4 linked regions of the Struthio camelus genome follow. The protein of the gene in region 2 purifies or fractionates together with the protein of the main gene of each other region. This does not show direct contact. Links are inferred from orthologs where the notes say so. Each region holds a gene or a part of one and is shown on either strand. Other genes may lie near its edges. The genes, in order: GAB2, CRKL, NEDD9 and GAB1.

What was found.
Region 1: the proteins of CRKL (region 2) and GAB2 purify together in Homo sapiens (affinity purification with western blotting; 3 studies listed by BioGRID). This does not show direct contact. The link is inferred for Struthio camelus from reciprocal best matches to the Homo sapiens genes CRKL and GAB2.
Region 3: the proteins of CRKL (region 2) and NEDD9 purify together in Homo sapiens (affinity purification with western blotting; 4 studies listed by BioGRID). This does not show direct contact. The link is inferred for Struthio camelus from reciprocal best matches to the Homo sapiens genes CRKL and NEDD9.
Region 4: the proteins of CRKL (region 2) and GAB1 purify together in Homo sapiens (affinity purification with western blotting; 3 studies listed by BioGRID and IntAct, with this or other methods). This does not show direct contact. The link is inferred for Struthio camelus from reciprocal best matches to the Homo sapiens genes CRKL and GAB1.

Annotation. Positions count from the first base shown.
Region 1 is NC_090942.1:220,164,590-220,172,251, reverse strand, and holds the start of GAB2 (GRB2-associated-binding protein 2), read right to left. Parts: upstream 3,008-7,662; 5' UTR 2,848-3,007; coding exon 2,776-2,847; intron 1-2,775. UniProt on the Homo sapiens protein: Adapter protein which acts downstream of several membrane receptors including cytokine, antigen, hormone, cell matrix and growth factor receptors to regulate multiple signaling pathways.
Region 2 is NC_090958.1:9,181,367-9,188,263, forward strand, and holds the start of CRKL (crk-like protein), read left to right. Parts: upstream 1-3,886; 5' UTR 3,887-4,375; coding exon 4,376-4,689; intron 4,690-6,897. UniProt on the Homo sapiens protein: May mediate the transduction of intracellular signals.
Region 3 is NC_090943.1:101,051,590-101,058,766, reverse strand, and holds the start of NEDD9 (enhancer of filamentation 1), read right to left. Parts: upstream 3,003-7,177; 5' UTR 2,750-3,002; coding exon 2,738-2,749; intron 1-2,737. UniProt on the Homo sapiens protein: Scaffolding protein which plays a central coordinating role for tyrosine-kinase-based signaling related to cell adhesion. As a focal adhesion protein, plays a role in embryonic fibroblast migration.
Region 4 is NC_090945.1:33,971,247-33,979,221, reverse strand, and holds the start of GAB1 (GRB2-associated-binding protein 1), read right to left. Parts: upstream 3,001-7,975; 5' UTR 2,392-3,000; coding exon 2,320-2,391; intron 2,098-2,319; exon of another isoform or gene 2,051-2,097; intron 1,413-2,050; exon of another isoform or gene 1,398-1,412; coding exon of another isoform or gene 1,341-1,397; intron 1-1,340. UniProt on the Homo sapiens protein: Adapter protein that plays a role in intracellular signaling cascades triggered by activated receptor-type kinases. Plays a role in FGFR1 signaling. Probably involved in signaling by the epidermal growth factor receptor (EGFR) and the insulin receptor (INSR).

The sequences.
Region 1 (7,662 bases), on a different chromosome or scaffold from region 2:
GGCAGGTTTTATAGGAGTGGGGACTCCTGGCCACATCTGAATGCTCTGGACCCCTACTGAAGGGGGCAATTTGATTAAAGCTCTAACACCCTTAATACAGAATCACAGAATCACAGAACGGTTGAGGTTGGAAGGGACCTCTGGAGTCCAACCTCCCTGTTCAAGCAGGGTCACCTAGAGCACACGGCCCAGGATCACGTCCAGGCTGGTTTTGAATATCTCCAGAGAAGGAGACTCCACTACCTCGCTGGGCAACCTGTGCCAGTGCTCTGTCACCCTCACAGGAAACAAGTTTTTCCTCAGGTTCAGATGGAACTTCCTGTGGTTCAGTTTGTGCCCGTTGCCTCTTGTCCTGTCGCTGGGCACCACGGAGAAGAGTCTGGCCCCATCTTCTCGACACCTCCCCTCTTCAGATACTTGTACACATTAATGAGCTTGCCTCTCAGTCTTCTCTTCTCCAGGCTAAGCAGACCCAGTTCTCTCAGCCTTTCTTCAGAGGAGAGATGCTCCAGTCCCCTCACCATCTTTGTAGCCCTGTGCTGGACTCTCTCCAGCAGTGCCATGTCTCTCTTGGACTGGGGAGCCCAGAATTGGACACAGTACACATTGGACACATACATGGCATGGCCATATAATATCACCATCTCTATACTAAAAAGTGATAGGGCACCACCAAACGAGACACAGTACAAATGAAGGGCACAGTTTTCCAGCCACTGCAGACTTTCCACGTGACACAGCACACTTCACTAGAACTTTTCTCTATTTAACTGGAACTAGGAAGTAAAGAAGGGGGGGGGGGGGAAAGCTGCCAAGCTGCCTATCTAAGAATAAATGACTTCAAAAAGATGATAGAGGCAAAATTCAGCAACTTGGGCCCATGGTCATACAGGAAGCCAGTGCAACCAGCATGACTTGGAGGGAAGTCCCACTGACCACAACTCCGGGACCGGAGTATAGAGAAAACCCCTTGAGTTACATATGTCCATTGCTGCTTCCTGACCCACTAACATTGCATAGGACGACCGGGTACATTTGGGAATGGCTGAGTTTCCTCTTGGGGGAATAATGATGTTTTCAAAACATAGGTGGCTTGCAAAGCACTTTGGGATGCATCTGCATGAAAAGCACTCTTATGCACATCAATAATTAGCACTAACCACTAGCATGTCACACCCTCATGTATAGCATTTAGCAGATTTATTCAGCTCTTGCTGGAATGCCAGAGCACAAGCTAGATATTCAGAAGGCGATGTGAGCGCCCTTTCATTGAATAGATGTTGGAGAGCTAATGATGTTTGATGAGTTAAGGCCACTGGTGACTCAGTATCAGCAATTAGTTGATTTCTGCGGGAGGAAGGTGCTTTGCTCCATTAAGCTAAAAGCATCCTCCGCTGTTCAGCATGCACAAAGTCAGTCTGTCCATCTTGCAGAGAGCTGCTTACATACATCAGGCTTTGTCTCAGTACATTTAGGGGGCAGGGAGGGAAGGAACTGGATTTTCCCTCAACTCCATCACACATTCCATCTGCAGCCTGGAACCAACCCAACCCTCCCGCAAAAGGGACCAGGCACAGCAACGAGTGGATGGCCAAGAGCAACCAAGCATGGTCCAAAGTGAGGAAATGTAGCGCCGCTGAAGTCTACGGTGCTGCACTCATTTGGGACTAATGCTCAATCATGAACCAGTTACCTCCCTATGGAACGGGTCTACTCATACCCACCACCCTCTCTGGGGTATGCAGCGGTGCGTCAATCAATAACACGTCTATGGCACAGGGGAGACCCCAGCGACGCTTGTCCTGCCTGCGCTTCCCAAGACGCACAGGGGCAAAAGCAACAGGAAGGAAGGACAACTTTGGTGGTGCCTCTCAGGAAGGAAGGGTATCCCAGGAAGCAAGAGCATCCCGCTCGCGCTGGATGCTGCGGTGCCAAGGAGCCGAAACCCGGCAGAGTTGAGTCACCGGAGCCAGCGCGCAGCACTCAGGGACTTCATCTGCCGAGTCACAGGACGGCAGCTTTACATAGTCGCGTTCCTGAGCTCTGGGGCTTGTGGCGCACTGGGAGAGCGTCAGGCGGCGGGCGCAAAGAACAGTTATTTCTTTCAAGGAGTCGGGAATGTGACAGGGCTGGCATTTGGACCCTTCTTTACAACTTCCTTGAACTGTTTGATCTCAGCCGCTAACGACACACACACACACACATAAAAAAAGGCTACCAAAGTGCTACTGGTGCAATCTTCAAAGAGTTTGAACATCAGATGATTAACAGCAACCGCAAGCGGGGAGGGGGGGAAGCAGCCGTTACGGGGTGCGGAGCGGTGGGGGGGGGGGGGGAAGAGATCCGCGTTATTTTTATTATCCCGTAAAAAGCAATCTCCAAAGGCGCCCAGCGCAGGTGGGGGGGGGGGGGGGGGAATCCAGCCACGGCGGGTAGCGAGCGCCGGGCGCCAAGCGCAAAACCACGCGAAGAGCCGAGCCGCCGCCGTGGGCAGCCGCGGCCGGGCCGTGTTGACCCGCGTGGCGCCCGCAGCGGGCGCGCACCCAGCGCCGTCCGCGCTGCGCAGCGGTGCGCAGCGGTGCGGAGCCGGCGGCCGGGGCCGCCCCCCGCGGAGCGGCGCGCCCGGGGCTGCGGCGGCAGGTGCAGCCGGCGGCGCGCGTGTGTCCCCTCGGGCCGCTGCCCGCGCGTGTGTCCCCTCGGGCCGCTGCCCGCGCGTGTGTCCCCTCGGCCCGCTGCCCGCGCCTCCCACCCCCCCCCCCCCGTAAACCCACTTACATATCTCCGCAACTTCTTCTCCGGCGGGGACTTGCGGAGCCAACCCGCGCACACCACCTCGCCGCCGCTCATGGCGCAGAGGAGCGGAGCGGCGAGCGCGGGGCGCTCAGCGCCGCCGGCAGCGCTCGCCCATCACCGTGGCAGCCGCGGCCGCCGCCTCCTCCCTCCTGCTGCCGCTCCTGCTGCCGCCGCCCGGCTCTGCCGGCAGCCTCCTCCCCCCGCCGCCTTCCCAGCCCCGGCCAGCCGCTGCGAGCGGGGAAAGCAGGAAACTGCCTCTTTTTTTTCCCCGGCACACCACGCCTCCCTCCCTGCCAGGCGAGCCTGCTTTTATTAAAGATACAAAACCCCGCACACGGCACTGGGAAGGGGCGGGCGGGCGGGCGGGGGGGTGGAGGGGGCGCTCCCGCGGCGGCAGCCCCGGGCCCCCGGCGGCAGCTGGGTGGTCGCCGGGCTGGCCGAGGGCTCCTCCTTCCCCCGGAGGTGTTGCCGCTCATTTCGGCCCGCACTGGCGCACAGGGTGTGCGTATGTAGCTGCATGCATCTCTATAGGAACTTTAGCGTAGAGCAGGTGACCTCCTGGAGCAGAGCAGATCCTGTCTGAGCCGGGATCTTGCATTGCAAAGCCCCCCACCAAGCTAGTTAAAAATAAATAATAAGAAAAAAAAAAAAAACACCCCAACACCCCACAGGATAAGGATATGGGGATTAATCACTAGATTCCCCCCCGCTCTTCCCCCAGACGCTTCCCCTCTCTTTATGGATTTTGTCCTTCTCACCCCAGGGAGGAGAGGGCGGCTTACACCCTGCAGTGGTTAAGGGTTTTGTGGGAGATGTGAAGGAGCCGGAGGAAAACAAAGAGGTGGAGGCAAAACACGGTCAAATGCCATGCTCTAGCAAAAAAAAAAAAAAAAAATCCTCCTGGAAAAAAAAAAAGGAAAAAAAAAAGGAGAGGAATCAATAAAAGCTTCATATTTTATTATTGATTTTTAAATAATGGAGCAGCACCCACTGAAAGGGGATTTGACTGCCACTGGAGTCTCATGCAGACAAGCTGGGTTTCGTATTACAGTGTATTATACCCTAGCTGAGATTTAGCCATCCTCTTCCAGATCTAGAAACGCTGTGCGCTTCAAGGTCTGATCCTCTCCCCATCCGAGGCACCAGCAAAACGTCCCTTCGCAGCCCTGAGAGGAGGATCATGCTCTAAACCTTCTTTTTGCCTTTCCTTAGAAGCGAAAATCTGGAAACAGCGCTGATAGAAGTTTGCTAGCGCCGAGCGCTCTCAGCTCTCAACGCCTTCACGCTATCCACGTACCGGGAAAACACAACGCCGGGCTGCTTGCCGGAGATGCATTTCCCCAGCCTGCCTCTATATGACAGCTCTGCCCCAAACCTGCTTGGGCACATTAAATCGTCCCTCCCTGCCTCAGTTTCCCTTCGTGGCGTTTTGTCAACTTGTCCAACCCACGTGGGCAGGGACAGTCTCTCGCTTTGTACTGTATCTGGTGCAATAGCACCTAGACGCCGGCTCACACGCCAACACTGTTCGAGCAGGGATCTTGCATCACTTTACAGGCAGTAATTACAGCTTGCAGTGCCTCGGAGGGGTAGGGATGACACCTCTTCTCAAGATGGGGACAACACAGTTAAGCCAGGTGTTGTTTACCATCTTCGTGAACACTGAAAGGAGGGGACTAACCCCTTAAAGAACAAGTATATCATTTTTTTCAACCATATTTTTTTCAAAATGCTCGTCCTTTTCCCATGGGTGAAATGCAAAGTCTGTAAAGAAGCTTTTCCACCTTTTCACCGCCCACATCGAGGGCTCGGTCCTATTTAAGCGTGGGGCAATCTTTCCATAGAGGCCAACTCTTGTCAGATCAGCATCTCCGAAAATACGCTCCGTCTGACGGGACTGGGAACCGGAGAAGACAGAGAGGCCGCTTCTCGGCCGACACAAATCAGAACTGCTGTATTCAGTGGACTGGAGCGGTATCAATTTACGCTGCCCGAGAGGCTCACCTGTAAATCTATGACGGGTTACAAAGGCGCTTTGCACGTTCACAGGGAGAATCGCTTCCCAGCGACCGACCTTCTCAGCCCGAGAGGTCTTCCCAACAGCCAGGGCAATTCCAGGAAAGTCAGCAGCTTACCCTGGGCTTAGGACGACATAATCGAGCATGGACTATCGGCTCTCATTATGAATACACTGGTACCGTACAAACCCCTTCCAAAGCATATGTTAATGAGTCACAGGTTAGGAATTCCCTCATGCTGACACTGATGCAAAGTGGTATCAGTCTTCAAACCGGTCACAAAGAACCCCGGCCGCATTTCTATGCTAACAGCTCTCAGCACGCAGCATCGAAAACACTTTGTTTGGGCGATAGGCGTTTCAATGAAATGTTCCGTAATTCTCATGGTTTGCACGGAATTGAAGGGGAACGAGTAGTCACACGTTTGGCGACAGCCTTGGACTGCGTTCTCCTGCTCCCTTGCTCCTTTTGCTCTGCTCATCCCCTACTTTGGGTCGAATTTATTGACCTTTTTCTATCACGAGATATATCCGAACAGCGTTCGAAAGATGAATTCCCCCCACGGATTTTGCCCTAACGTCTTGGCCATGCACGTACCCCAGGCTGCCGTGACTTTCAGAAGGGAAAGGAAATAGGCTGCATTTTACGTGCTCTGAAACACACTGCCATCGCAAACATAAAATGTAAGCTCTATGCGGGGGGGGGGGGGGGGGGGGGGGGGGAAGGCCGAAACGACGACACTGCATGTGAATGCGGCTGCCTGATGCTGCCACGGCTGCGCGCGGAGTGAGAACAGCAAGTTCATTCTGGCATCGCGCTGCCGCATCACATTTTATACCATGCACGTCATGTTACAACGCTTCTTACTGCTGGTGCCACTTAAAGCATCTGGCCACACAAATATTACTCCAAACGCTTCTAGGACTTAAAAGACAAAGACACAGCTCTAATTTGGCAGCGCTCGCACGCCCGTGACAGTTTTCCCAACTTCAAGCTGCTCTTGCACCCGACGGCAGAGCCTGAACTAAGGCTGGCCCCAGCTGACGGCGTGAATCTCCCGAGTCGTGAGCTAACAGCCAACAGCCCCGGCTGAAAACTGCAAAAACCACCTCCTTGTGCTGCAAAAAAACACGCCGAGGGGGTTGTGCGAAGCAACTGAGACTCCTTCTCTGCCAGTGGGACCAGCAAAAAAGGGGCAAAGGCAGAATTAGGAGGCAGACTGAGGGAGAAATTAAGAGAGATCGTATATAAAATCATATTCCTCACACGAGGCTAGGGCAGTTCCAAGAAAAAGCCCCCGGCGCCGTGCTTTAAGCACGCCGAGGTGCCAGAAAAGGAATGACACTTTCTGCTGCAGAAACCTCTGTTTTTTTAATCACAGTCTTCAGCGTACTTCCTTGTTCTTGGCCGTAAGGGAACCGAAATGTATGTCTGAAAAATCACAACTTCTAAGAAACAAACCACAACGCCCGCCGCTGCTCTTTGCCTGCTCCAAATTTGTTTAAATGAGCTGTGCCATCTACTGGCAGCAGGGGAAGAAAGCGTGATTTCTCCCCTCCACACACCAGATTTTTAGTGTGTAAGCAGTAAGGACAGAGACGCAGGGCATTTCCTGGGGATTAAGCACCAGCTGGGTGAAATGCTTTGGGCTACTTACCCCAGCCAGGCACTGATCTCTTGGAAATGCCCTATGCTGAGGTTAATATAAACCTAAACATACTGGAGGGGGACAGGCTTTAAAAACGAGCTGTGCTGCTTGGCGATACGTGCCTGCTTCTCATCCGGAGCGAATGTGCGGTCTCTTGAGATCCAGCTCCCCAACAATACGACCTGGCTTTATCTTCACCAAACAGCTCCTGCAGCAGAGCTGGAGGCAAACAGCTTCCTTTATTTCACAAAAAAACGTTCAAGGTTAGAAATTCATCTCTTCCAAGGAGAACTTGAATCTTGCCACCCTCCGTAAAAGAGCACGGCGAGCCCCCCAGAACAGCCCGTAATCGAAGCCAAACCACAAGACCGTCCTTCCTCAGTGCAGCTCCAGCAGCACTGGCTGCTTTCCATGAGTTGGGACAATCGTAGCGCAGGATGCTCTGAGATGACTAGACCATTTGAAGCATCGTTGCTACCGTGTTCTGGCAAAGACAGAGGCATCAAAGCTCTGACGCCTCAACAGAGGCTCAAAAAAGGGAGAAAGGAAGAGATGAGGCAGGGGTCATCAGTGTCCAAGCTGCACATGCACTCTTGGACTTATCAGTCCAGTTGCTAGTAGTGAAGAATAGGTGTTGCTCTTCCAAGACGGTGATGTGAAAACAATGGATCAAACCCGCTTCATCCCCTTTCTGTTGGGGATTACGGTGAAATCCTGCACATCACCACGGAGGCAATGCGCTGGGCAGCACTGGGAGGATGTCTGGGTTGCTGAGCTGGACCTTTCTGCGGATGCAGCTAGGCCAGGCTCCAGCCTGTGGAGCTCTTCCATTCCTTACACTTGAAGATAATTAAATGGATTTTCCTATAGACGAACCACACTCCAAGCTAAAGCCCAGTCGTGTTTCCCTCGCTACATTGGCTAGTTTCAAGCGGTTCTGCCTGGAGCTGAACCACACCAAAACGCTACTGAACTATTCCCAAACTTGGGGCTCAGATTAGAACTTCTCATGCAAACTCTCTCACCTGGAGATACATCCAGATATATTTTTGGCAGCTCTGTTTACCCTTATTTTCACTTACGCTGTTTCCACTGAGGAGGAGAAGAGGAGGAAATCAGTTTTCAGATTGTCTTCTCACCTTCTCAAGACAGAAAACCATGGCAGCTTTGCCTGGTGGAAAGACCACCAGCCTGTGCTCCTGA
Region 2 (6,897 bases):
ATGTTGCAGCTGGATGCTGTGCAAAGCAAATCAATATAAGGCTTAAAATGTAGTTATGAGGAAATGACTTTTTCTTCAAGCAGATCACATACGTTAGAGAAGTGTTCTACTATTTTTTCTATTTTTTTTCAGTTACTGATAAAATACAGTTAAATTACATCAACTAAACCTAAGAGCAGATATTATGTATTTTGATTTAGCAAAAAACAAAGCTTCAGTTGCTTTCACCCCAAGAATTTCTTTTCATCTGGGGTGTATTGTGACTGTCAAAAGTTATAATACGTACTACCTTACCTGCATGTATTTTGCTTGGGTAGAAAACAGAGTTTAGCTTAGCTCAAACCAATCTAATCATTTAGCAGTAGCTCGCTTTCGTCTAACATGTACCTTTCCAAACCAACACATAGGCTAAACAATAATGAAATTGCTTTGTTTTAGAATTGGCACTTTTACCTAAATTGGCAGGTGTAAAGAGCTTTGTTCTTCTTGTTTACTGCAGTTACATATAGAGAGAAATTGCAAGAGACTATACATTGATATGTTGAGCCATGATTACTATTGATGGGTTTTCTTATCAAAGATAATGCTTCAGGAACCTTGCCTTCATGAGCCCAGTGAAATGTTGTGTTATCTTAAGAAAAAGATGCATAGAGATTTCTGGCTGATTCTTCTTTTTTTTTTTTTTTAAATAAATCCTCTGCCTCCTAAATGTGTCAGTCTTATAGTAAGAAGCATTCCTTTTTTTTTTTTTTTTTTTTTTTAAAAACAGTCCTCTAAGACAGTAGTATAGTATAAGACATTGAGGTCAGATGGACAATGAATTAAGAAAGCTTTAAATATTTGAGGTCTGTAAGAGAATAGCCACACAATTCTTTCAGAACTAAGTGATCAAAATACAAATGCTTAAACTGCTGATACATTAGAAAGTCCAAAAGAATAATAACTAGGTTTCTTGATCATCTATTTTCCTATTTCCTGTCCGCGCAGAGGCAAAGTTATATAGGCATATTTGCTAGATTTGTAATTAGTGGACATGTATCCTGAACTATTTCAGGCTTCTGCATTTGGAGAAGTGATTGTAACTGCTTCAGTTTTTGTTTCATAACTGCTTTCACTACTGTATTTCTTCTCCACCTACTTCCAAATCCACCGTCTCCTTTCCCATTTCCTCTTGATTTAGATTAGGGTTGTTAATTTTGCTGTGGAAGCACAATTCATACTTGATCTGAAACAAATAAGGAGTCTCATTCTATACCCTTGATAGAAGTTTACTTCTCCTTACTTAGAATCCAGCCACATGTACAATTTATTTGTTATTCAGTACAACTGATAGGGGCAGAAGCTTCTGGTGAAAGGAGGAAGGAGCAGCTGGGCATGGGGAAAGAGGGACAGGAACCTTCTCAAGGGAATATTGTGCCAACAGAGTTTTTATTTCATCAGCAGCTGATGCACTTTAAGAAATCCCCACCTCCTCAGTTGTGCTGCAGCAACCATTCGACCATCCTCTGAGAGGGTGGAAGCCACCAATGGGTGAGAGAAAGAGCATAAACTTCTGTATATGTAATAAAAAGGTAAAGTGGTTCCATTAAACAGTCCTAAAAATCCATACATTTCTCCACTCTTCCTAGACAAACAGTAGTTGTAGGGATTTAACACATCTAAAATCACTGCCTGTAGTCTAGGTAGCTGATGCCCAGTCTTAGCAAGTAGTATTAACAATCTTGAACAAGTTACTTCTTTTCTCTTAGTGTAATAGAAATGGGATCTTTTACCTAGATCTGGCCTGGTTAAACCACAGCTACTGAAACTGAAGCAGGAATTACCTGAAGGGTACATGCAGCCTGCAAGAATGTAGGAGGTCAGAACAGATAATTGTGACAGCTCCTTCCAAATTGAAAACCTCGCTACATTTTAGAATCTTCTTTGGATGAAAAGGCATCTATTTTTTACTGATTCTGCTGCTAACTTGTGACTTTTTGTAATTATGTTTAAATGGTGTTGGGTATGTTATTGCAAATTGAAATACTATCTTTCAATCTCTACATTTTGGCTATGGCCACACAGAAAATGATCCAAATCCGTTCAAATGACAGAAGAAAACACAGCACCCTTCATAGTTTGTGGTAGCCTGTCTGCATGCATTTAAAATTGATTCCAATTGACAGATATGAGAACTTAGACCAGTAGGAATGAATCAGAGGTATAGCTGCCAGGTAAGTTGCCCTAGAAATGGAAGAATATCTTTACACAGCTGTATAGCTTCAGACGGTATTCTTCACCTTTAGGTCTGCTCAGTTTGGCTAGCACTGCTGCACATGGCTAAACAGCTGCTGTTTTCCACCCAGGAGATGGCTGTACTTCAACGGCTGGTAAAGTGATACCTGTACATGTATTTAGGGGCATGCTTTAAGATCCTTTCGCGCTAGTGATGAGATTTTCTTGAACAATTTTGTTTAAGCCATAAGCATCCGAGTAGGCAAGTCTTCCATTTTAGATCGTTTGAACTATGCTGAATGTCTAGAGAGATACATCCCATGCTTTCCAGTCCAAACACTTCAACTGGCACTAGTGGCCAACGTAGGAAGAAAAACAAGGAGAAAAAAAAAGACCGTGCTGTAACTAAGCTTTCAGAAAAGACAGAGCATGAAAGAAAAATATCAAAGCTGGAATAAGCTGACACAATAGGTCCAACTGAGCACTTCAAAACAGTCAACCTAAATCCGTCTCTTCTTGAAACGTTATTTACATGCTTAAAGCTGCTTCATTTTCACGCTGTCAGCCCCAAAAGCAAAACGAAAAACAAAAATCAAGGACACAAATTAAACAAAGTCATGAGAGCGAGCTAAAATCACAATGTTTGTAAAGGTTTATCACATGTCTGGGGAACTAGGTCTTTTGGGTGCTGTTTATTTTGGCATGCCGTTGCCCACTGCAGTGGGATACGCTAATTACCACCAGCGGCCCTCCCAAACTTGAGTCAGAGGGCGTAGGCCTCGCTGCCCACGCTCCCGCTCCTCCTCTGAGGTCACAGCGCGCTGAGCTCCCTCTAAAATTCAAACAGCTCATGCTGCACCGCCTGCCCTGCCCTCGGGGCTCGCCGCATCCTTTCCGGGGGTTTCCTTCCTCTTGGCGGCTGCAAGGCCATCGCCGTCGTCCCTTCCCGCCCGGCGCCCTCCTCGCCCCCGAGACCAGAGGCGAAGGCCTTCGCCCCCGTTAGCTGCGAACAGGCCCAGCAGAAGAGACAGGAAACCGTCTCCTCTCCTGAGCTACGTAGGAACTTACCTCCCTCAGAGGGGGTTATCACGGGGGTGCCTTTTGCCCTTCCAAAAAATTCAATTAACAGAACAAGAAAACCTCAGCCAGGCTGATCTCCGCCTCAGGGAGCCCTCGCCCGGGACGGGGCGGCCGGCACACAGGGATGGAGCGGGGACAGGCCGAAGCGGGGCACGCCGAGGGGGGCACGGCGGTGGGTGAAGGAGGTAAATGGCCCCCCCCCGACGCGCTGCCCAAGGAGCGGCCAGGCTCGGCTAGGCAGGCTTTCGTGGGGGGAGGAGGAGGGCGGGGGAGGCCGCGGTAAGGCCTGCTCGGTGCTCCGGGGCGGCCGCCCAGGAGGGGGGGGGCCCGCTCCCCCCGGCCTCCACAGCAGCGGGCCGGGCGGCCCGGCCGGGGCTCCGCCGCGGAAGGCTCGGACCGCCCCGGCGGGGGGAGGCGAGGGCGCTGCCGCCCCTCAGACCGCCGCCCCTCCCCCCGCGGCGCGCGGTCGTCGCCGCCGCCGCCGCCGCCGCCGCCTCCTCCTTCCCCCCCCCCCCCCCCCCCCGGCGCGAGCCGAGAAGCGCAACGCGCCTGCGCGGCCGCCGCCGCCGGAAAACTCCCACCGCCCGGCGCTGCCGCCGCCATTTTAGCATTCGGCTCCGAGAGTGGAGGGAAACCGGCAGGAGAAAGCGGGAGCCGAGCGCTTCTGTCCGTCCCCATCCCCCCCAGCCCCCGAGGCAGCGGCAGCGGGCTCCCCTCGCCGCCCGTCCTAGTGAGCCGGCGCCGCTCGCCCAGCCCGGCCCGCCGCAGGCCTGCGAGCGAGGCGGGAAGGATGCCCTGCACACCCCGCCGCTGAGGGAGACTCGGGGGCCCCGACCGCCGCGCCGCGCCCGCCCGCCCTGCCCCGCCCCGGCCGCTGCTCGGGCTCCGCCGGCCCGGGGCTTCCTTCTCTCTCTCCCGCCGGGCCTCCTATCGCTGGCTGAGCACTAGCCGCTTCCTGCTAGCCCCCAGCCCGCTCCGCCTCCCCGCCCAGGCCTTCCCTTCTCCGCGTCTCTGCCTCCGCCTGGGCCTTCGGGCTCTTCACCTTCCTGCCCCGCTCCCTTCCCCTTCCCCGCCCGGAGCCATGTCCTCCGCCGCTCGCTTCGACTCGTCGGACCGCTCCAGCTGGTACGTGGGCCCGGTGTCGCGGGCGGAGGCGCAGACGCGGTTGCAAGGGCAGCGGCACGGCATGTTCCTGGTGCGGGACTCGTCCACCTGCCCGGGGGACTACGTGCTCTCGGTGTCGGAGAACTCCCGCGTTTCCCACTACATCATTAACTCCTTGCCCAACCGCCGCTTCAAGATCGGCGACCAGGAGTTCGAGCACCTGCCCGCCCTGCTGGAGTTCTACAAGATCCACTACCTGGACACCACCACCCTCATCGAGCCGGCGCCCAGGTGAGTGCCAGCCTCCCCCCCCCGCGGCCCCGGCATCCCCACGCTGGACGCGGGGCCCCGCCGTGCCTGCTCAGGAAACGGCCCCTGAGGGCCCTTCCTTGGGAACCGCTTCCAACAGCGATCCTCCGCACTCCGGATCTCACCGGCCGTTCCGAGCTGCTCTTGCAGGTATATCGGCTATAGCAGTGCACGTCCTTACAGAGCCCGTGGGCATGTGCGAAGGTGCTGCGTGCATCTCTGCCCCCCGACTGCAATTCTCTCGCAGTGGGTGTGGCCTCGCTTTGTATCAGCCTGGCGGTATTGTCCTGCTCCTCGGGCGGTTGAGGACCTGGTTCACAGCTCTTCCACTCAGCGATCGAGATACAGCCTCAGAGCTGTCCGTCTCCGCGTCCACAGCGGTTAGAACAGAAAAGGCCTTTACGTGGTTAGGCTGTACCACCCTGTTAAGTTAGTTTTAACGCGTTCTAGGACAGCGTTTCCCAAGCTTCTGGAGTTCACTTCCCCCGAAGAATGGAAATCGTAATATTTCTCCCAGCCTGGTAATGGCACTGTATGCCTGTGTCTGCATACTGCATGCACTACACTAAAAAATGCTGCTCTAGGAGGATGGAAAAATATGACATAGCTATGAGCTCATTCTTTGTTCTGTTCCCAACATGAGACATAACCTGCTGCTTGCATCAGTAAACTATTTTAGATTTATTGATGAACTTGCTCGCTCCTTACTTTGATTTATAAAGCTTTTCTCAGTATGTTATTTCAAAGCTGTTCAGCTTCCTGTACAGAATGGAGTGAAAATAAAAGCTAGATAAATAGTGAGACACACACAGACAAACAAATTCAAATTAGTTCACTACTAAATTCAGCAGTTTAAAATGTTCCTATCATCTGCAGATTAAATAAGTTCTTAAGGAAAAAAAAAGAGCTTTTTGCTCACGAGTTAAGCTTGGCTTTAAGCATAGTGATGTTCTTAACAGTCAGTAATGTCAAAAGTTGACAATATCTTGTCAAATTCCACAACTCAGATGGTCAAAAAAAATCTTTCTGCAGAGCTGTCAAGTGATGTAAGGGATGTGACAAGTCACTAGCTTCTAGAACTGTTAAAGCTGCTAGAAAGTCTGCACAATTGTGCTTTGGCTGGAAAGATGAATAGGTGAAGAATTTGCTCATCTTTCACAGTTGCAGGGCTACTTAAATGGAGCTGCCCAGCATTATGCGCATGTTTAAACTTGCAGATGGTTGGGAGGAAAAACCTACATTGAAGCAATCCTTATGTTTATCTCAATTCTTCCCTGAATATGGATGTGCTTTTCTGAAAATAAGAACCTGTTCATAGTCATGTATGGCAATAACTTATTTTGCTTTCCTCAGCCACTTAAAAACTTGGTGTCACTTAGCTGACCCCAACTTGCTCACTTCCTATTTATTTAGAATCTTGTGTCAAGCACATTACAAACATTTCAGAACCACATCACTTCAAGCTTTTGATTGCATATAGGAACTGGTGGTTGCTCCCCTAGCGTACAGAGACAGATTTGAGACCTTGCATGCTGTGGACTGACCTTTTTTTTTTTTAAACAGAGCTATTAATGGGATTGATTAGATGGTTTTGTTCATAGTATTTTTGTTCAAACTCTTGGAGAAAAATCAATGACACAGTTGATGGCTCAAAATTAAACTTAAAGGAGACTTCCTGCTAGAAGGGAGAAAGAAAAGTAGCATTTCCTGACTTTTTTTTTTAAAAAGGTAATGAACTGGACTTAGAATACGAAGGGTAGGCATATGCTTCAGAACTGTTATTTCTTTTTCTTCCTTATAAAAACTTGGCTTTTTTGGGAGGGGGGAATACTTTATTCAGGTTCTTGTATTCTTGAAGGCTTTTTTTTAAATACCGTTAAGGACAGGATGAGGAGATAGTTGTCATGATGAGATTGAACAAGTTTGTTGGTGTACAAGTTTCTTTAGCTGCAGGAGATGACGTTTATGCCAAAACAGTTGAAAACTAAATTTTCTATTTGTTTTCTGGCAATAGTGAGTTTTTACCATCATTGCAGATGTGCCTAGGCCCTTGCTTGTGTGGAGTGACTGGTCTCTAAAGTTTCTTCCTCTTTGGCTTCAGCAGGATACCTTAAAGAAACAATTATATTCCTATTTAAGGTTTCTGGAATATCTTAATAAAAAACACAACCAACCAACCATACTTAACTT
Region 3 (7,177 bases), on a different chromosome or scaffold from region 2:
CAGTAACCAATTAGTGCATGAATGGTAGAATAGGACTTAACTTGGGGTCAAATTTGTTCTTGATGTAAGCAGTCACATCTTCACTGAATCAGGCACAGTGAGCAAAAGACAGAGAGACAAAAGCGGAGAGACAGATATAAGGTAAAATTCTAAACTTGCTGAAATCCATAGGGATTGTCCCACTGGCTTTCAGGGGACTAGGGCTTGAGTCTTATGTTGGGAAAATGTTTAAAGAATGGGACGGAGAATGAAAGAAATTTAGGTCAAAGAAGAGTAAGGAGAGGGAACAAATTTTCAAAAGGTTTATGAGTGAAAAGAGGTAGAACATACGGAACGAGTAGCAGAAAGGAAGTTCAGACCAGCAAAACCTTGTGTTCGGTCCCAGCAAAAGTAACATCAGCAGTGATGGGAAGACATACTCAGGGCCTTGCACACGAGTCACTTCCTGTTATATACAAATGTTAATACTCTCCTTGGACTATAATGAGCATCTCAGTCATTTAATTAAACAAGGCCTTATTAAACAAGGCCACGAGAAGTAAAGAATGAAAGGGCCCAAAATAATACCACCTGGAGAATACCAGGAGTAGTTAAGCAGACCCAACTCTATACTTGGAAACCAAGCCACCTCTGAAGTGATGGTATTTTCCCAGGCAAGACACCAGTACACTCTGTTCCTTCATTTTCTGCATAAAAAGTATAGGAGTTTGTTCTCCTATAGAAAGAAAACAGCAGAGGCTGAATGAGCAGGTATTTTCATTATATGTTACTCTGGGGATAAGAAACAGATCTAAAGATGATTGTCCCAGTTAAACAGTATAAGTAACTACTTCACGTTTCCCAGGGAAAGTAAACACTCTAGTCTGACAAGAAGGTTTTTGAGGCCAAAAACTCTGTCTTCGTTTTTTATGACTTGCTCTTTCTTTGTCTAGCTTGCTCCGTCTAGAATTACGTAATCACCTCCCTGAACCAAAGCGCTCATTCCAATCAGACTGGGCAAAGGAAATATTACAAAGCAAGGAAGATTCGCCCTGATAAGGGGCGAATAAGGTAGAGCTAGCTACCTTATCAGTTCCTATGCCTGCAGTGCCTCGTGGCCACATATGAAGTATGATCCCCTCATAGCACACGAAGGTTAGATGGTGACAAGAAAAGTCAGGGAGTTGTATAATTATGCAGGGCCATTATTTTGCCACTGAGAAAAGTGTTGCTTAGTCACAGGTAATTGGAAAGCATTTCATGAGCTCTGGACTAACAATGACATTTTCTGCTCTTTCACTCCCAACTGTCTGATATTTTCTGGTAAGAAGTACAGCTTTCCTAAACCAGTGTCAAGTCTGCCTGAACTGATCTGAGCAGGGAGTGGAAAGGAACAGGTGATGAATTTGATCACAAACGTCTAATCAGTCAGTCAAAAAAAAAAAAAAAGCCACCACATCCAGGCCAAAATTTCCTAGGTCACTGAGGGTCTTTCTCTATCTGTATCTTACAGAATTTCCCTTTTCTTGGTCACTTTTAACCATCATGAGATAGTGAAACTGACAGCAGCCTTGAAAAGCAACTCTAAGCTTTCCCAAAGTTTAGGTAAGATAGTTTCTGAAAGCTTGGGCCCAACTCAAAGATGCACAGAGAAGAATCAGAATAAATATATATTTGTCTAGGCAGCACTCAGACATCCCTTTCTACACAGGTCTGTAAGCCTTGCTCAGCAATACAGAATCTGGGCTCTCTTACACTACATGCTGCTTAAATTTAATAAAAAGATGGGCTTTGCTTCCAAAGTAAGCTAGTCTCTAAGTAAGTGTATGTAATGTATGTGACATTTCTAAATCACCTTTTTATTGATGTTGAAGTTATTTTTGGCAGAGAAAGTAAAGTTTTCCTTCTCTCCCCCTTTTTTTCCAATCACACAAGATTACGGTATGTCTGTACAGTAATCTAATGCCCTGTAGGCAATCCAGTACCTTGCCCAGACATTTTTAAGTAGAGTAATATTATGATGGAAATCTCCATATTTGTGTCTTCTGAAACAAAGTCTGGTTAGGCTAAATCACTGCTTTTATTTAAGGCGGGAGAGGGGGGTATACTGTCCATTTTAAAATATACATCTGTTTTTTTTTCCTCTCAGCCTATTAAAACAGACCACCCTGAAAAACTGCAATTTAATAACCAAATATATTCTTAAAGATTTGGAAAAGGGGATGATTACATCACAGGGAGAAGTAGCAATAACTGTCCCAAATCAGTGCGGGATACAACACATAAAAATGCATTTTCCTACAAGCAGATGTATTTACACCCTTACCAGCAGTGGTGTAAATAAGAGGGCAACCTAGCCATCAGATGGGCACCTACAGCTCTACAGGCAGAGAAAAGCCCCTTCTTTCAACACACAACGCCGTGCAAACATCTGAGAGTCCTCTCCAAGCTTATCTCTATGTACTGCCTCATTATTTTCCACTTAAAGCCTCCCGTACTAATTCACTTACACCGTCATGCCGCTGGGCAGCTCCTTTGGCATTTTGACGAGAGCAGGCAACCCCCCCCCCCACCCCGGTCAGCCTCCCCCCTCCCCGGCTAACGGCTGGCCAACGGTCGCACCCGTCGAGGGAAGCCCCGATTTCCCTCCAACAACACCCGCCAGGCTCCTGTCAGTTGCTCCCCCTCAACGGCTCGGGGCAGGGTCACCCTCCCTCCCTGCCGCCGCGGAGCGGGGGCCGCCGCCGCCTCGCCTTACCTTGTACTTCATGGCTGCGGCGGGCGCGCGGGGAGCGCGGCGGGCGCGCGGGGAGCTAGGCGGCGCGCGGCGGCCCCCGGCGCATCGCCCCAACGCCTGCAGCTCCACGCAGCGCAGCGCAGCGCGCTACCACCGCAGCCGCCGCCGCCGCCGCAGCAGCAGCAGCAGCACCACCACCACCACCAGCAGCAGCACCACCACCACCACGCCCGTCCGCTCGCCTCCTCTCAGCGCCGCGCCGCCCGCCGCGCCGCCAGGCTTGCCCGCTCATTTGCATAGCACCGCCCCCATTGGCCAGCGCCCGTGACAAGGCGCCCCTCCCTTCCCTTCCCCCCCTCCCTCCCCGCTCGCGCCGCCGGGGTGGCCGTTACCTCGGCGGAGCTGCCGTTGGGGGGGGGGGGGAAGGGGAAGGGGAGAGGGGAAGGCGGGGGGCTCGCTAAGATGAGTTGCTTCCTCGCTTTTCTTAAAAAAAAGGAAAGAAACCCGCTCACAACGTGAGGGCCGACAGCCCTGCTTCCTGTGACCCAGCGGCTCCTTGACAGTCCCGTGTCGTTTCAAAGCCGTTCACCTCATATTCTCCACATGAAACGGGCACCGAACAAAAGGTTTTCTGTCTGCCGCCCCTTCCTCCTCCCCACCCCTGCTGGTGTGTCTCTTTTGCTGAGAGATTTCTGTTGTTCTCAAGGTTCAGAGTGGCCTGGCCGTCAGTGAAAGCAGCCCTGGGAATAGCTGCCCTGAAGTGACAAACAGCACCAAACGCTGCTCAGAGCCTCGCCTGCTCCCTCAGGGGCCTGTGAGGCTGAGGGGAGCGGAGCCGGGCCTGCCCCGACAGCCAGCCAGTCGTTTCTAGGTCGCAGATGGACCCAAGACTATTTCTAGTGGCCTAAGGAAAAACAGCAAATAATAATCTTGTACTACTAAATTACAAACATAACTTCCACAGTACAGTGGCATCCTTAAATGCTCATGCAAACCGATCCACTAGAGAAGGATGCAAGTGCTAAAATGGCTTCATGGCTTCTAAAGAATGTAATACCCTTTTCTGTAATCGCCTCCTCCATTCTCTACTTCCAGGATAAAATATGAAGTTGTATAGCACGTATTTACTAAATGCATGCAAAACTATTTTTCGTCTGTATTTTTCTTCTTGACTGCACATGCCCTAATAATATGAGTCCCTGTCAATACAAGAGATGTATCAGTTATAAGTGAGGAAAGTGACCGTCTGCTCTCTGCACTGCAGAACATGCTGCTGACTGTGCTCTCTATGCGTTGCTGTCGCTTCACTAGCTGCTTGGCCTCTTTTTTTTCTATTTTTTTCTTTATGTTTGTTTGCTGATTTTATAGTTTTTCAGAGGAGTTTTGGGCAACGTTCTTTTACGTTTTCAGTAGTTTCAGCAGAACAAAGCTTGCCTGGTTGCTGTATCATTAGATACTTTATTTAAGAAAATAATTCTTTCAGTGAATTATTTCTGAATTTCTTTGATTATACAAAGCCAGCTTACAATTAGGAGAGTGCAAATCTCTTTGGAGTGTTTCTGTAACTATAGAGTTTAATTTTTTTTTTTGGCATATTTTTTCCCTTCACTCTCTCTGAGGATAAAATTTTCTCCTGGGGTACATTTCCTAAGGACAGAGGATGCAATGGCTAAGGTGTTAGCATGGTATTTAACTAGCATCCAAATTCCTATTCCTTGAATAAGCCCTGTATAATCTCTTTGCACTCCATTCTTCCCATATGTGAAAGCCTCCCTTTCTGGCACCATTGTCAAGAGGATAAATGCATTAAAGATTGTAAAGCACTTGGTTACCACATTAATAAAGACTAGATAAGCGCCAGAGACCAATATAAGAAATGCAGAATCATATTTCTGACTTCACCTATATTTAAATCCAGAGTGTATCCGTTTTCCAGTCATCCTACCAATATAGGATTTTCATGCGATTGTTGTTTTTCTTCTTCAGAATGCTTTACAATTTCTAGAAGCTGTACCTCTTCCTCTGTTTTAGCCTGTAGTGCTTCTGATATTTTAAAAATGTACCTGACTGACCTTAATATGCAGTAACAGATGTGTTAATGTCAAATTCTAGTTGGGTGTTCCCTTGTATATTTATTGCTTTCCTTTATTATGCATTCCTCCAAAATGCATACTAAACATGTTTAAGTAGATGTCACTGGAATGAAATTTTGGGGCAGCAAACCCCAAAGTTTACCAGTGTTGATAGCTGTGCTTTACAATTGTAAAGGAACAGATAAAATAATTAGTATTTTGCAAGGAAGAAGAAAGATTGCTATCCCATACTACTACCTCACTACTAAGTCTCACTGTTGGTTTTATTCAGACTCACCCTCCCTCGAGTCTGTCTCACCTACTCCGTTAACCATTTTAGGTTCTCTTTGAGCTTTGAGGGTGCTTTTAATTTCCCCAAGGGTGAAATACTCCCACTTAGTGTAGCACATCTAGCAGAGCTTGCAGCATGGCTGAGCTCCCTGATGCATCATGAATATCAGGAATTGGATATACCTTGAAAGAGGCATTTGTAAATATGATCCTGTAACCTTGACACATTACTAAAAAAAGTGAGGACTGTGGAAAGCACACATTCGTGGTTAGTGCAAGCACTTAGCTTTTCTTAATAACCTTGTCAACTGCTGTGCCTTGACTATGTAATACTGCATTTCAGGCGTAGTAGTCTTGGGAAGTTTTGAATTGGTCGCCTTGGGTAATCAGCTAAATTATACAATGGAACATGCTGATGAGGAAGCCAAGACCTGGCTTTACCAGTGTCTGTGTTGTAGAGGCAACTCGAGCTATATTGCCAGGATTTATAACGACAGGGCCCTATTGAAGTTCTCAGGAGGGTGATTCATATAATGGGCCTTTTTGCTTCACAGCACAGCAATGACTTGATTCACTGCCTTGTATTTTATGCCGCTGCAATTCTAGTGAAGTAGCAAATGAGTTCTGTGACTTCATCTTGTGCCTGCATCAATGGCTTTTGTTTGTTTGTTTGCTTTTGCTGAGGGCAAATTAATATTATTCTCTGCTCATTTGGGTTACCTAGTGCTTGTCTGCTTCTTTCATACACCATCCTGATGAGCTGATTGCTTCTTTTATTTACCACTGTGTTCTCCTTATGTCCTCCCAATTGCCAAATACAGCTCTGAGATACCTGGGGGAGGGCAGCAGGTGAAATGGTCCTGCAGCCAAAGGGGCTGCTTGTCAACCAAGCTCTATGCTTGCCTCCCGCACCCCTCAGCAAACAACATGAAACAGAGCTGTCAGCCAGGCTGGGAAGGGAGTACCCACTGAAGCAAATCAGCCAACTAGTGTGCTGTGAACACTGATAGGAGAAGAACACGAGACAGATATCCTGGCCCAAAAGGTTACTAAAACAAAAAATCCCTTGTTCCCCTTTCCCATGACACAACCTGAGAAGAGAGAGACACAGCAGAGCGTCTCTCTCACAGTTGAGAGAGTCTTTTCAGAACAGGTCTGTGAGCTCTGGATTTTGGAAGCGCTGAGCTATCTTTTTTCCTGCACAAAGCCCTAAGTATGCTTTGGATAATGTTATGCAGCATCTTCATCACTTCTTGCTGCGATACTTGGCCAGGGGATTGGGATTAAAATTAATTTAGTTATAATGCCACTGCACTTTATGAGCAAAGGAGAGTCCTAATAATGAGCCTTGATCCTACAGCCTATATAATGCTGCCTGAACTGGTTCAGCTGCTGTGCAGCGGATTGAATTTAAACAGTATAGAATGGTTTTATACACAATCAGAATTTGGAATTTGCTTGCTTGGAGAAATGTGAAAAAAGATGAAATGCTGCTGTTTCCTGAAAAGAAAGTAACAAGAATTCACCACTGGTGTGGGCAGGCTTCTGTGTGTATCTGGACAGAAAGGCCCTGCTCCCATCTCAGTAAGTAATAATTAAAAAAACCCTTCATTTTCATCCAAAGAAGGGAATAGCTTGCATTTCAGCAAATGAAAACAAAATCTGTTCTCTTTTTCTTTGACCAGTGATGGAAATCTTTTCAAGGCAAGCAGTTTATTGCATGCAACAGTAACAGAAACCTGGAAGAAGGAAGGGTTGACAGTGATTTTCTGTAGTGGTCAGGTTTACATACGAAGGTCATAGTGTGAGAAAAAAAAATCTTAATGGAAGTATCTTTTTAAATTTGACTATTTTTTGCCATTTAATTAATTCTAGAATTCTACATTTCTTTTAAAATATATGGAACCAGTCTTAAAGGCATCCCCCATCCTTTAATAATAAAACACAAAAGCTATTCACATTCTCAAGAATGGCATTTCATGCAGGCCTTCTTCAGGAATCGCTCATTTAACTTTGTAAGTCAACCATCAAGGCCCTGTTTAGTGACCCTCCTTCAGATAAAGTGAATAAATGCAGCTCCCTCTGTCCTCTCTGTTTT
Region 4 (7,975 bases), on a different chromosome or scaffold from region 2:
TCCTGTCTTTTCTTCTCATGCAGCCTCTTGAAATATCACCAGTATAACATAGCTTTAAAAACATAGCTCTTTTGTGCCTTATCATAGACATAAAATTACAGAGAGCACAAGCCAACGTTTCAATCACTGTGCACTCAGTCCAAAATCATTGTCTTGAGTTTGTCAACTTTTTGTTTGGATAAAGCCAACAACCATGACGCAGAGGTCACTTTTATGCCTTTGAAACGAACACAAACCACTACAGACAAGCAGGAGAAATCTTGCTTTAATCCCTCCCTCAGACAGCACCTTTCCTTCATGCAGGAGAGTACAAGCAGGTAACAGTTGACAGCAACGTGCAAGATTTAAACTTACGACCTTACGGCCTACAGTGCATACAGAAGCTGTACCAACTAAGTCATGCTGAAGCTAATATAAGCTTGCTGTACTATCCCTCTGATACTCTAACTCCTCAAAAAAAACCTCCGTTTTGAGTAAAGATAAAGGAACCACTTCTTCAGGACTGCGAACCCCTTAACCAACACGACAGTTAGAGACTTCCTCTCAAAGGGTGTAATTTTATCTTAATATGGGAGCATGAATGAATGACGTGAATATACCTTGAGAAGATAGCTACATGGAAAAAAAAAAAAAAAAGCTAGTGTATTTAAAGACTGTGATTTACAGTATCAATTTAGGACACCAAGTGCTTGTTTACAATTTCTGCCATCAACAGGCAGCATAACTGTTTGCTATTTAAAGCTTGGGCAGAAAACTCAAACTTTAAAAACTTTAATAGTTTACTTAATACCTACACATTTCACTGCTAAAGTGAAATGGTATCCTGTGAGTATATTCCCTATGTGTATACAAGTACACGCAGCAGATCAGCCAAAAACACAGCCCATGTCCAATCTGGCGGGGAAGCACAGCCCTTCCCAGGCCCATCACGACATACTCTTTGCAAGTCTGATCCTGTAGCCTTAGCATGAACAGGATTTTTGCCAGTGGGAACAGGAGGGTGGGCTATCCTCCCCCTTCTTTGGAAGGGGAAAAAAGCAGAAGAGCCACATTTAGCCAATTCCTTGGCATTTAACAATTCATCAGTAACAACAACCGCGTGTTTCTCTAAGTTTATTCTCCAGGAAGTGACTGTCAATCACTAACAAATTAAAATAACCCGATCACATTAAGATCTGCATTCACAGATTCTCAAATGAACGTGAAGAGGCTTAATTACTTTGGTAAAACTGGTAACTGCAAAGCCCATTTCTATTTAAATACTTGCTAAACGAAGATTTGGGGAGGGAGAAAAACAAAAAAAAAAATGCCCCAACATTTTGTACCAATTACACAAATACCATGAAGTTACTTCGGTGCCAATGGGAAAGGGCCTCGGCAAAGAGGACTTCTGGCATCACCCATCCCTCCTACGTGACTTGACAGCGTCTCCGCCAACACCGAAGAGCTACCCAGAGCACAACAGCGTTGCTGTTCCCCTGTCACGAAATCTGCCCTCTCAGCAAACAAGCTCCATTTTCCTGCAACCGAAATGTCAGCTCCTCTACAGCCTGTTAAAATATTTACTTCGGAGCAACAGTAGGCTGCTATCAAAAAAAAAAAAAAAAAAGAAGAAGAAGAAGACGACAAATGTATTGCAACTCCTTCCTCTCTCCGGCCGCTTTCCCGCTCTGTCCCAAAGCGCTGGGTGCCCGGGCCGGGCCCGGCGGCTCCCGGGGCATCGCCGGCTCCCGCAGCCTCCCGGCCAGCGACGGCGGCCGCCGCACGGAGCGGGGCGGCCCCGGCCCCGGCCCCGGCCCCGGCCCCCTCCACGCGCGCACCGGCACGGCCAGGGTTTACGTTTAAAACACATATATTTGCTAAGCCCGGATCCAAAGGGAAGAAGAAAAAAAAAAAAACCAAAAAACTCCGCCCCTCTCCCAACTCGCTCAGAAAGGCGATAAAACGAAGGCAGAAACATCTGACCGCTCGGTGTCCTTCTTTTTCACCTCCTCCCCCCCCCCCCAATAAAAAATAATAAAAACAGAAAGAAACGAACAGAGACACGTACACACACACAAAGCCGACCGAAAGCCCTGCGGGAGCCGGCCGAGGCGCGGCGGCCGAGGGGGCCGGGCAGCGCCCGCGCCCCGCGTTGTCAGCGGCCGCGGAGCCGCGAGGGGCCGGCGGGGCGGCGGCGGCGGGCCGGGCCGGGCCGGGCCGGGGAGGACGGCGGAAAGGGGCAGAGGCGAGGGGCGCAGGGGCGAGGGCAGGGAGCGGACGGGGAAAGCGGGGGACGGGAGAGGGGACGCGAAGCGCCAAGCGGGGAAGAGCACTCACGTAGCGTTTCAACTTCTTCTCCGGCGGGGACTTTCGGAGCCAGCCCGAGCAGACCACCTCGCCGCCGCTCATGGCTGGGGCCGCCTGCCCGCCAGGCCAGTCGCCCTCCTCCTCCTCGGGCAGCCGGGCCGCGGGAGCCCCGAGACGCGGCGGCAGCACGGCGCCCGCTCCGGCCTCCTGGGGCTGCGGGGCGAGGGCAGGGAGCGAGGCGGGCGGCAGGCAGGGCAGGGGCGGGCGGGGGGAGCGCTCTGTGTGTGTGGTGTCTGTCTGTCTGTCTGTCTGTCTGTCTCTCACGCACGCACAAACAGCCGGAGCGGCGGCCGAGCGGAGTAACGAGCGGGGCTGAGGTGGGAGGCTTCCCCCCTTCCTCCTCGCCGCCCTTCACACAAACATCGGGAGAAGACGACGAGCGGCGGCCGCCGCCCCGCCGCAACTTCGGCTCCGGCGTCCCAGGGCAGGATCCAGCCGCCGCCGCCGCCCCGCCTCGCTTGCGCCGCCTCCTCGCCGCCGGGACCCTCGCGGCGGAGAAAGGCTCCGGGAGGGGCTTCCCCTCCTCCCGGCCGCCTGGCAAATCTCGGCGCTGGCTGCCGCAGCGACTCGGGCGGGCTGGCTCACTACCTCCTGCTCCTTCCCCTTCCTCCTCCTCCCCTCCGCGCGGGGAGGAGGGGACCGGCCAGCGCTCCTGCCTCCTTCGCCTTCACCTCCGGGGCACGGCGGGGGGACGGGGCGCCTCGGCCCGCCGGACGCCGCCCCCCGCGGGGCTCGGCGAGCGGAGCCCGGGGGCGCAGCCGGGCAGCGGCGGCCGGGTCTCGCCCCCACGCCGCCGCGGGGTCGGGTCCCCTCTCCCTCTCCTCACGAGTGTGGGAGGGATTTACCCTGGTATTCAAAGCGTGTCCCCCCCCCCCCCCAGCCCACTTTTTCTCCACAGCGCCGGCCGCGGTGGCCAGTTGAACGACGGCGCCACCCCGCCCCGCTCTCCCCCCCGCCACAACGGGCGGGCAGCCGCGGCGAGCCGAGGAGCCGCAGCTCCCCCTGAAACTCCGCCAGAGCCTTTTCAAACAACAAGGGCCGGGAGGGGGAAGGGAAGGAGGGAGGGAGGGGACGGCGCTTCCGACATGGATCCTGGGAGCTGTAGTCTGCCAGCGGGAGCGGCCCCCGGCGGGTAGCCGGGCCGCGGCGACTGCGGCGGCGCGGCCGTTAGGGGCCGTTAGGGAGGTGGGGGGCGCGAGGAGGCGCGCGGAGCGTTCGGCGGGCGGCGCCCTCGGCGCTGACCGTTTGCCCCGCTGGAAGGCGAGAAAGGAAAAGGAGAAGGGGGGTAGGTTGCCTCACCCCACCCCCAAGAGCAGATTTTTTTTTTTTCTGACTTATGTGGAGTTGAGAGGTCTGCTTTGGGGGCGTGCGGAGCTTCAGCTGAATATTCACGGGAGCTGAGGAGGGCACGGGTTTGTTCTCAGCTCTGAAGGACAGGTCTGTGAAGCTAATGCTGATTTGAATAACAAATGTTAAAATTATGACTGAAATGTTGATTAATTCTTTGAAACACACCGCAAAATCATTCATTAGAGGTGAAAACAAAACAAAAAAAACACCTATAAAAACGGCTTTAAAAACAACTCGGCGAAAGTAAACTCCTTTTAGCAAGTCTGAAACTGCCTTGGCAAAAAAGTAGAAAGTTCGGTTACTGGCTTAGAAAAGTTAAATGCCAAGTTCATTTCTTCCCAGAGCGAGCCTCTGGCCCTGTGGAGTGACGTTGCTTCTGGTAAGAAAGCTGTAATTACACGTCTGCATGTGACAGATGAGATGTATTAATTAAGGTGGACGTGTCGGACGGATTTGAAGCGTCTCTGCAGTTAACACGTACGCACCACCCACCATCGCCCGAGCCTGTGGAGCTACAGTTAAAACACCAACCAGCCAACCCGAAACCCCTCAGCACGAGAGTGTTCCCTACCAAAAAAGTCACGTTTTTTGACAGCTCGGGCCTACTTATTTGTATGTGGTGTTTACAGTGTTATTTTTAAGTGGTGTATCCGCTGGCTGTAATGCTGGCTCCTGCATTTCCCTGGGAAGTAACCACAGCGCCCACCTTTGTTGGTAAAAAACTAACCAGCTCCCTGTGTAGTCAGTGGCAGGAAAGGCGCCTCTAGAGGGCGAGTCAGAGCACCGACAGTAACTCCTGCTCTCCACCAGCCGGTGGAGATTGCAATCAGCTCCCGAGATTAGTCAGCAAATTACATGGTGTTTGGGGTCTAAAGTCTGGTGATGTAAACAGCGACTAATGCGTTTTCTCACCTTTCTCTTCTCACGTGCGTTGCCTCTTGTCTGCTAGTTAGACTGTGAGGTCTTGGGGACAGGGCTTTCTGGTTTGTGTTTGCACAGTATCTTCCACAGGTAGGGTCTGTTCACAACCAAGGCTCCTCTTTGCCACCGTCCTACAGATAAATGCAACTGAGAAAAAAGGACAGTGGTATGCAAGGCAGTCCTAGGCATTATTCAATTAAAAGGGTAAAAATAAGTCCATTGAACAGTTAATCTCTGCTGACAGTGCTCTATCTTTTCCACTCCAACAAAAAGGAGCTCTAAATATGATTTTTTTTTTTCAGATTACTTATTTGCAGGGTTCTGGAATGGGACATGTTGTTTGGTTAACAGCAGTGCTCTTCCACTGCAGACAAATAGTCCCCCTAGTGTACCTTTGTTGAAGGCAGTGTCATAGTTACTGTGATTCATCAAGGTATAGCGCATTAAAAAGTAACTAAACAGCATCAGTAGCATTTTGACAAAGTCACTTGCAAAAGTAACAGGAAAATGAAAGATTAAAGCCAAGAGCCATTGAAATCGGTGCATCCACTTCACTGTAGATCTTTACACAGAGTTACTTTCACTAGTGCTTGAAGTTTTATGACAGGTAAAGCACTATTAAATATTAAAAGAAAGATAATGAAAGAACAAAAGATTTTACCAAAAACATTTAGAAAAAGACAATCAGTGAATTTTGTGCTTTACCAATGTTAAAGTGCACAAATCCTAGCATCCAAACCATCCTCGCTTATATTTTGATGAAACATCATTTCATCTACTTCAGTGGGGTAGCGGAAAGAGTGAGAAGGTGATTTGATGCGTACAGTTGATAAGTATGAGCTCAAATTGTAATATGTGGTTTAGACTTCACGGTGGGCTTCAGTATAGCTCTTTTGTTTAAACCACTAATGTAGTTGTCTAATGTTTTGACATTACATAGATATTTTAAAATATGCTGGAACCGGTGTTAGCCCAGAGTCCAGCATTAGTTTGTCCTGTAACTACAGTAGCAATTAATTTTCTTGAAAACAGCTACCTAGAGATGCACTTTGTGTGTAGGTTTCATGCCTGCCATATAGTGATAAATCACAGGTTAGGAAAAAGGAGTAGATGTCAAGTATATCAATAAATGATGAGAAAGTAGTAAACACTTATTTTTAGACCGTGCCTTATTGTTATATACAATAACAGGCCCAAACACTGTCTTAAAAATGGTTCATTGGATTGTTGAATTTAAGAAAATATAATACAGCAAAGAAATACTTCAGAATGACTTGTTAGATACGTAACATCTTTTTTTAAGATGTTGTCTAATGGACTGCTTCCTTGCTGATCATGGTGGTGTATTTCTCTTTCGACACTCAATTTGTTATTGGAACTACCCATTTACAATTTCACTGGCACTTTGACCAGTAATCTTAAGAAAGAGCTGCATGTGGCTATATTTATCTTTTAAAGTAAGTTAACAGCTAGCAAAACTGAGAATGTTAATACAGTGAGTTTCCATGCATAACTGACAATGTTCCACAGTTCATAATTGAGGCATCCTGAATTAGGGCAAACCAAAGCAATTAAGAACACTGATGAAATGCATAAATAGCACAGTATTTAAGTCTGACTTGTAACGTCTGCATAGTTATTGCTGTATAACTGTCTATGTAGAGAAGTTAGTGGGCCTAACTATAGTGAAGCAATTATGCCGTCCTTACAGTAAGGTAAGGTAGGGCGTGATTTCCTTAAGTTAGGATTAAAAACTGCAAAAATTTCTATCAAACTTGAATGTTTCAGCTAGTTTTCTTATTGTGTTTTTGCCTTGAAACTTTAAACAACATAAGCGTGGTCCACTTTGAAATTCTCCTGAAGTACAGCTCGTGCGTGGAAGTACAGACTCACTAAGGTCACAGAGTGTTCTGACAAGCTCGTGGTGGAGCCGTTGGGTCACACTGCCATTTGGCTTGATAGACTACTGTAACTGCACATAAGGACACGAGTACCCTCTCCCCTCACTTTGTTCCAGAGGGTTATTTCTGTACAAGTGTGCTGTGATTCAGGAAGCGCAGAGAATAAAGATCCTATGAGCTCAATTAATTGCACTATGGAGATCTTTTGTGTTTCTGTACAAGGACAGTCTTGAAGAAGAAAGGATTTTCTTTGCCTTGCCAATGTATCAGTGATGGCCTGAAAACCTGAAGAGGTTTCATTGCAGGTGCTAAGACAATCTTGCTCTCTCATGTTGTGAATACTCAGGACTTCTGAGGAATTGCCACCTTATTTTTCAGGTGAAGTTCCTTTGCTTTAGATTGTCTCTTTTTTTTAATAGCAGTAATAAAACAATCAACTGCAATCAGTTGTTTCGCAGGTGATGGGGTTACTGAGTTGTTTTTTCCATTTTTTGAAAGAAGTTTGCAGTTTTTGCAATGCTCTATGTAGCCAGGGAAAGGATGTGCCCAACAAAGCAGCTAGAGAATTGAGCAGAGATGGAATTCTCACTGACTACAATGCCAAAATAATTTCAGGCCTAGCCACTGCACGGTTGCATATGTTACTATTTATGAACCCTGCATAGCTGTTGTCATCCAAAATAGTATCCGTTTTGTGACCAGATACTGTAGTGAAGTATGTAGTACAAAACTGACTAAAATGCACTTTAACTGGCCAGGCGACACTGTGCTCTGGTATGTGACTACCACTCACAGTCATGGTGCTTTTGCCACCTTCCAACTAATTAACTGTGTTATTTTTGGGCTTTAGGCTCCTCTGACATTTTTTCATCTCAATTATTACCTTGCTTATAAGAGCATGTGAAAGAAGCCTTGGTTCTTCCATTGACTTTGCGTTATTTTGTGAGTGCATTCCAAAGTGTTTTAAATGGGTTCTCCAAAATTTTGGAGTAGAATATTTATATATTTTACCACATAGAGTAGGTCATGTGTAAATTCATTGCCCCTGGTATGTCTGCCAAGGCTTCTTGACAAAGGAAGCAGGAGCTGATAGAAGAGGAGATTAAATTCATATGGATTTGTTTTTTAAAAATATGAATGATACTAATTTCTCATACAAATAGCTTAGAAATGCTGGAATTGCATAATAAGACCACAGCTCTTAATTATGACATAGACTTAAAACTCTAATAAAAAAAATCATATTTTGCATGTCAAACTATATCCCAGAACATGTTTACGTATTTACACAGCAATGAACCGGTGCAAAAAGATTCTTCTAACCTTAAAAAAACCCAATATAGACATCTGTTTTCATCTCAGATATTTCCTCTCTGAGCTCGGAAATCTTCCTAGATAAATTTAATTTACAGAGTTCTTTTTGGTCAGTTTGCGGATAGCTTTATCTATTATTA